2 linked regions of the Saccharomyces cerevisiae S288C genome follow. The protein of the gene in region 2 interacts with the protein of the main gene of each other region in a pairwise test. Each region holds a gene or a part of one and is shown on either strand. Other genes may lie near its edges. The genes, in order: DMA2 and POG1.

Region 1 (4,354 bases), on a different chromosome or scaffold from region 2:
TTGGTTACCTTCGGAGATAGAAAGGCATAACGAATTTAGATTATGGTGGAAAGGCATTTGGTCGAGTTTAGGATGGAGATTACAGACTTCATGGTTACTAGCTCATCATGGGTCTAAAGAACGTATATATGGGCGTGATATGAAATATCAAGGACGTTTCTTGCGTTCCAAGTTTTTGGAAAGCGTGACGAGTTCAATTCTAAGTTACAGAGATGTGACAAACAATGCAGAATCTTTGCAAAATGTGAAGACAAGCATCGTTAGCTCTAAGGAAATGGTGAAGAAGTCGGCATTATGGGGCGATTGGCAAAGAGATTTGACCAAAATTTCTCACAAGACTCAAGAATGGAAAATAGTTGAAGGTGGGCATGAAATATATAAGTATGGTCTGGGCAAACAACAAACTCAAGAAGTCCTATTAAGATTAATAGGTGAGCTTGGCAAACTAACCGAGGATTAACCGAGTTCTTTACTTTTTTTTTAGTTTTATATGTGAAAGCAAAATTGACTGCCAACGATGGAGGTATTGTATTCCTGAAAACAATAAGTCAAATATGTAAACGGCGCAAATATATAAATACTAAGAGAATAATTAAAATAATATTAAGGTACGAGATGTGGAGTTCGGTGGTTTTTCTTTATTTTTCAAACTGTGTATTTTCTTTGACCTTAAGGATGGCTATCAACATCCTTTGAAGTTTCCATTAAGACGCTAAGTTGATCCACCAGTTGATCACCTTCACTTTCCACATCACTTTCATCTTCCTCGTCACTACTTTCAAAGGAGGCCTCCAAATCACAACTTGATCTACAGTTGGGGCAAACAAATTGCGGATATGAGAGCATGACCAATCTTCTTACACAACGGAAATGCCAGCTATGTGCGCATGGTGATATGAAAATTGCTTGACACGGTTTGATCTTACATAGGCAAATCGAACAATCTTCTTCTTCAATACCTGTAGTTAATTTTTGTAAATTCTGCAAACGCTGTAAAGCTTCTTTGTTGAACGAATTTGCCTTTAGTTTCCATGATCTATTTAGCTCAATCCTCATCCTTACACAACGATAGATTTCTTCCGTGCCACCTCTAAAATCCATTCCTAACTGTAAAATATCACCATCACGAAGAGGGGTATCTTTCGATAAAGAGGAAGCGGGTGAGAGCCTTTGGTGATTTAAGAAAGTTCCACTAGATGATTTCACATCCTTTATATACCAGTTACCTTGAGAGTCAACTTTAAAACAACCATGTGTCCTTGAAACAACTTTGGATTTAAATACAACTGGATGATATTGTTCAGGTATTTTAGAAATTGCATCGCGAACACGCTCAGTATAGCGGCCAATAACCAATTGGGATCCAGGGCCAGCCTTTCTTATAATCGGTTCAAAGAATAAACCTTGATTTGTCGTGGACGAACTATCAATAAATGGGGTTAGTCTTATACTAAAAAGACCATGCTTATCTTTCCTTTGCTTCAAAGTGACCTCATCTACATTGAACATATTGTTTGACTCCTCTGCACTTGTTGCAGGTAAATCCAAATGTAAAATTTCGGTCCCATTTGGCTGGTTTGCAGCATATATCAAGTGACGTAAATTCTTATACATTTCCTGACTGTTGTTAACAATAGTAGATCCATCTGCACCACCGACTATATTTCTCGTTGTAGCCGCTGGCGCCATGGAAATTATCGAGGTTGTGGTATTGTTAGTACCGTTAGGCTGCCGCTGATTCAAAGACTCTTGAACGTTACCAACATTGTTGCCTTCGAAATTATGCGCAGATGATTGCTGGTGGTCTGTGGTTGTAGGGGCAGTGAGAGATATGGAGATGGGGAGTTGATAGTTGCGATGAACGTGGAACTGGGCCGACAGAGGCATTTGTATAGGATGATGCAGACGTGGTTCCTGCTGTTGCGGAGCGGTATCGATACTTTCCATGGCCACACTCATATGTGAGTTAGATGGGGTTGTGCCGAATAGACGCTGATCAGGAGCCGCAGAAGAAGAAGCTGTCTGGCTATTTTGCCTAATTCCGAAGGTATTCAAAAACGAACTGATACCCGACGCCGGACGAGCCCGCTCATTGGATGGAGTACCACTGGCTCTGTTCCTTGGGTTTATGCCACTACTGCTAGTGGTGTTGGCATTTGATGCGGATGAAGAGTTGGACGTCATCGATGAAGTTGGTGCAGTGGGAGCAGGGGTATTAGCAGGGATAGGCGTGTACATTTCCACGGTATATCCTTTGCTGAAAGCTTCAAACGTATACAATGCGTTGCTATACTTTCTCGACTTCTTTTCAAATCAAAATATATGCCCACGTTTGGAGTCATCAAGTATTGTGTTTGAAATTCCACAACAATGGTTGATGCCTTCGCCGTCGACCGTGATACATTAATCTGGCCAAAACAAAAAAAGGAATCATGATAAGATGATTCATTGCTAACTACGAAACGAAGCAATATAAAGATAAGTTTTTGGATTCCGATACATAATCATATAGGCATGAATATATTTTTATATATGTGTACACTGGGGCAAGGGAGATCACAATTTGCTCAAATCAGTGGGCGTCGCCTTAGTGGACACAATTTCGTCGTACAACAATGTAGTCAAAAATTCACTGAATTTCTCGCCTCTGATTTCTGGCAAGAAATACTTAGCGGCCAGCGCGAATTTGTTCTTGTCACCCAATGGACTTGCCTTAGACAGTCTTTCCACTTGTTCTTTTAGAATCTTTTCGGTTAATTCTGGGGTGACCTTTTCTCCCGTGTCCTTTAGAGTAACACCGTGTTTCACCCATTGATACAATTGACAACGAGACACTTCAGCAGTGGCGGCGTCTTCCATCAAGTTGTTGATGGGCACACATCCAGAGCCTCTGAGCCAAGCTTCCATGTACTGCAACCCGATATCCAAGTTTTGTACAATTCCCTCGGTAGTAATCTCACCATTTGGAATTTTGGTTTCCAGCAGATTAGCAGCCGTTACAACGTTTTCAGGAATGAAATAGATTTGGTTTGGTGTTCCCATATTAATGAAAACTTCATTACAAATAGGGGCCAGTGCTGGGTGTGCAACCCATGACCCATCATGTCCATTTGTCAGCTCTCTAATCTTATCATTACGGACTTTAGTCATGGCCTTTTCATTGGCTGCCGGGTCGTCTTTGATAGGGATTTGCGCAGCCATACCACCCATGGCATGAACACCCCTCCGATGACAGGTATTGATTAATCTTTTCACGTATGCATCCATGAATGGGGAAGTCATAGTCACTTGATTTCTATTGGGCAAAATGTGATTAGGATCATTTCTTAATCTCTTGATTGTAGAGAAAATATAGTCCCAACGTCCGCAATTCAACCCACTAGAATGTTGTCTTAATTGATAGATGATCTCTTCCATTTGGAAAGCAGCAGGCAAAGTTTCAATCAACACAGTAGCTCTGATTGTACCCCTTGGGATCCCAATGTAATCTTGAGCTACACAGAAGACGTCGTTCCATAGTTTAGCTTCCAAGTGGTGCTCCATCTTTGGCAAATAGAAGTAAGGACCTTTGCCCAATTTGATTAATTCTTTGGCATTATGGTAGAAATATAAACCAAAATCAAAGATGGAAGCGCTGATTGGTTCATCATCTACATAAAGGTGCTTTTCCACCATGTGCCAACCACGGGGTCTCACGATAATAGTGGGCAAGTTGGCCACATTTCCATTCAATTTGTACGATTTTCTTGGTGTGTCAAAATCGATTTGATTTCTGATCGCGTCGTAGAGATTAACTTGACCGTAAACCATGTTGTTCCAAGTAGGTGAAGCTGAATCTTCAAAATCAGTCATATAGGTGTTCACAGGAGCATTCAAAGCGTTGATCAGCATATTTCTCAATGGAGGCCCTGTGATTTCCGTTGACCTATTAATTAACCCCGGTGCCAAAATTGGACCTTGCCAAGTGGGATCATTTCTAATATTTGCAGTTTCAGGCAGGAAATCCAGATGATAGGAGCCCGAGTCTAATTTCTTCTGAACAACTTGTCTGTTTTCCAATAATTGTTTTCTCTTGTTGTTGAAAGTTCTGTGTAAAAGAACAATGAACTCTAGAGCATCCTTGGTAAGAATATCTCCCACTGTAGTACTAGATGGTTTAAAGAAAGGCTCCTTATCAACATCCACCAGTAATTTGACGTTATCCAAACTGACCTTAACCATTTTCTTAATTCTTTTATGTGCTTTTACTACTTTGTTTAGTTCAAAACAATAGTCGTTATTCTTAGGTACTATAGCATAAGACAAGAAAAGAAAAATAAGGGACAAATAACATTAGCAGAAGTACGGTATATTT
Region 2 (3,565 bases):
TCCTAGTCAAAGCCAATTTGTCTGCAGTTTCTCTATTATATGACTGCATACTCTCCGCAAGCTCGTCCTCAAAATCATTTTCCCGAATTATACTTGATGTTGCTCCTGCCATCGTTGCAGTACTCAAGTTTGAGAGCAGAGTTTCTACTAAAATGACCAGCAACTGACTTGCCGTTTTTACAATGTATATTTATATACCCCATTATCTAGAGATTGCTTCTTTATCTAGGAAAAGATGGTGACGCCGTTTATCTGTTCTGTAACCGCCATTACTATTTTCATCAGGGCCAACAAAAAAAAGTCCAGTAGCTCATACGACATCATCTGAGCCAAGACACATTTTCTCGAGAAAAATGTGGTGAAAGGCACAGATTTGGGGGGGAGGTCAGGATGCTGAAAAATTATTACCTCCGTCTTACGACCGCTCAGACGGGTAAGAACACCGGGGGTGGACAAGACAGTTAAGCAGACTGAATCCAAAATGACAGCATATATTATCAATATCCTGTTTATTCATGATTGAAATGAGATAAGGAGTAAAGGCAAAGAAATCGTAATAATAACACTGTAGCATATATATGGATATATATTTTTTTTTGAACTGAAGTAAGGTGGACGGATGCATCGAATGAAGGTTAGGAAGGGATATAGTTTTAGAAATTAGGTGATAAAAATGAAAATTACTGCACGTCATGTGGGAGGAGGATGTTTTGGTGTATGAATGAGAAAATTGACGGGCCTTTGGGACGAAGCCGGCTGGGGATTTCGCATGGGCGACCTAAAATTTGCCATGGAAATATTGGCACTTTGTGACCTTCTATGACTAAAACTTTTTCTTGACTGGTCTCGTTCCTGACCAGGTTGCAGCTGGTGCTGCTGCCCGTATATATTTGCCTGTGGGCCCATACTCATTACCGGATGAGCACCTATATTTTGTTGGTAAAGGCCATGCTGGTTCAAGGAAAGAAACTGTGAGCTCATCACTGGTGTCTGGGACTCCGAGTTTGAGCTCATTGTAGGAAGCTGAGCTTGTGGTCCCATCCCTGGTGGATATAAATACTGCGGCATTATCTGTTGCACTTGTGGTTGCGGAGGTTGCATATACGGGTTGCTCATCCACTGATTTGCAGGCATAGGTAAAGTATATGCGCCTGGTTGCTGGTGTATTTGAGGGTATCCGACCCCTGTCTCAACTTCTGACACTGTAGGTATATCAGATCTATATCTTCTATGGCCTCGTGGACTTGCAAGTTCGGAGGCGTTTATCTTGCGTTTCTTTGTCGTTATCGGAGACGGTATCGTAAGATGATTGTTGTTATCATTATTTGTATCTCTATTCATGGACATATCAAGAATCTTGTTTAATGTCGAATCACTTATTTTATCACTTTCCATACATTTATCAATAATCTGGTTTAGTTTCGCAAGATTTGACTCGCGTATCTTTTCTAGTTCTTTTGTGTCGTTTATCAATCGTACGTTTAAAAATTGCTCCACTAGGCCAGTGTCGCATGCATTTAGTTCTTGAATATCGTCAAACCCAAGTTGTTTTAATATTCTTATTCGAAGCGATAGAGACTTTTCTGTTTGCGATGATTCCACTGGTCTACTGTTGGTACTCTCGTCTCCTGTACTAGCTGTCACGGTTGTACCAGAAGATAATGAGGTATGCTGCTCTCGTTCAACAGCCATTGGTCCTTTCGGCTTCTCTTTTTCTTCGGATTGTCTATGTGGCTCCTGCTTCATAATATGGCATCCACTTTGATTTTCGTCTTTACTTATTTTTTTTCAATTTCTGCAATTAATCGTGGGACTCTTGAAATGTTTTGCGCCTTTTTGTATGAGTTAAGCGCAGGGATTGCACGCAATTTATTTCCTCTTCTGCGTAGCCTTTAAAATACGCGAACCTTAAGTGATATCAGTACGCGATTTGATCTTAGTTTTACTTATCTGTTAAAATAAGATACCTTGGGTTCCCAGTGTCTTTTCTACTATTGCTTCACACCTTATTATTTTTGTGCACTTTTGCTTTTATGAGAATAGGCAGTGCATACCTTTTAATTTCTTAGCACTCTGAATTTTCCAACCTCTACGAAAAAAAAGGAAGAACTTACAAAGTTCCCCCATCTGAAGCAGTAAATTTCCAAAAATTTTTTTCACCATCCGCATTTTCCCTTTTTGATCCACAATTGCCCAAAACAGTAATATTTTACGGGTAATGGCGGGGCAAAGCTCATCTCCGCAGATCCTCTTCGCGCCGACAGGCGCTGGGGGCTGAAAACACTACGTGCGGAAAGTTGTGCCTTCATGTCCTGATTCGGAAATGTGATGATTTCGTAAACCTACACAATATCCCCTTTGAGACTATTGCAGAGCTGCATATGTACTATTTTTAGCTGTCTAGGAACAGGCTACAGTAAAAGGAGGCCGGAAAGCTGAAGATGAAAAGAGTTCTTAAATTTCTTATGGGTATCGGACAGTATGTGTTTTCTTATGTAAATCTATTTAAAATTGTTCCGTCTTTGAAAATCTCTCTATCCAAGAATACTACTTGCTAGTTAAAGATAATCGTAATGAATCTTGGCTATATTTGGTCGTCTAACAAGTTCACTTGGATAATGGTACAGAAACATTGAGGCCATTAACGAAAAGAAAAAGGTGGACAGTATAAATATCGGTAAAAAGAAAAGGGGACCATAGTGATTGTGTGAGGTATAGGGGGTGAGATGTGTTCGAAAAAAGAAAAAAAAAAGGAAAAGTAGTAGTCACGTAGCTTAATTGTATAAGACGAAATGAGCTTTACCGGAAGTAACAGAGACGGTACACCCGTCAGCACCGCCAGAGAACTCACCATTTTCGTAAACACATTCACCGATGACATTGGATGAATCATCAGCAGCAACTATCTTGACGTTGTAGTTCAATGCGTCGCTGTTGTTTGGGTTAGGAATCAATGATAAGTATGTCACTCCACCAGTGGAGCCAGCACCAAAGTTTAATGGTGCCCAGTTACCAATACCAGATCCAGAAGTACCCCAGATACACCCATCTTCAACTGAGACGCCGGCGTTATTAACGTAGTATTGAGCAGATGTCTTTTTGCCTTCCCAAGTAAAGTAAGTATCTTGGTCAACAACGGTCAATGGCAAAGAGCTACCCCCTTCAACATAGGTTGGGATAACCATGTTTTCAGTGCCCGGGTAGTCGGTTCTGCAAATGGCGACACCCTTGCTTAGTTTAGAAACAACATAGGCAGCCTCGACACCCCATTCACATAAGTAATCCGCGTCAGTGTTAGAACGGTACAAATAACCATTTTTACACAACAAACCCCCGACAGATCTACCGTCAGATGGTTGATCGGATGGCCATTGGGTCTTAGACATACCTGGTTGGCAGGAGTAGGAACAGTAGGACCCCTCCTTGCATGAACCGCCAGTGGAAGTGTCGGTGTTTTCCACACCGGACCATCCACCCTCGCCAATCCAGTCAATAGAAATGACACCTTGACCAGATGGGAATTTGTCACATGGAATAGTGCCGTCTTGGAATTTCTCACTTGGGC

Evidence for each region.
Region 1: the proteins of POG1 (region 2) and DMA2 interact in a two-hybrid assay, tested with the Saccharomyces cerevisiae proteins (one study listed by BioGRID).

The regions. Positions count from the first base shown.
Region 1 is NC_001146.8:406,225-410,578, reverse strand, and holds DMA2 (ubiquitin-conjugating protein DMA2), read right to left. Parts: upstream 2,239-4,354; coding exon 670-2,238; downstream 1-669. Other genes in the region: YNL115C (uncharacterized protein), read left to right, coding at 1-460; malate synthase MLS1, read right to left, coding at 2,557-4,221. UniProt on the Saccharomyces cerevisiae protein: E3 ubiquitin-protein ligase which functions in cell cycle retarding in conjunction with the UBC4 and UBC13/MMS2 complex, 2 E2 ubiquitin conjugating enzymes. Involved in nutritional control of the cell cycle.
Region 2 is NC_001141.2:128,791-132,355, reverse strand, and holds POG1 (Pog1p), read right to left. Parts: upstream 1,747-3,565; coding exon 691-1,746; downstream 1-690. Other genes in the region: QDR2 (cation transporter), read right to left, coding at 1-112; putative glucosidase SIM1, read right to left, coding at 2,775-3,565. UniProt on the Saccharomyces cerevisiae protein: Transcriptional activator which promotes cell cycle recovery with CLN2, after pheromone induced G1 arrest, probably inhibiting the ability of STE20 to activate the pheromone response pathway.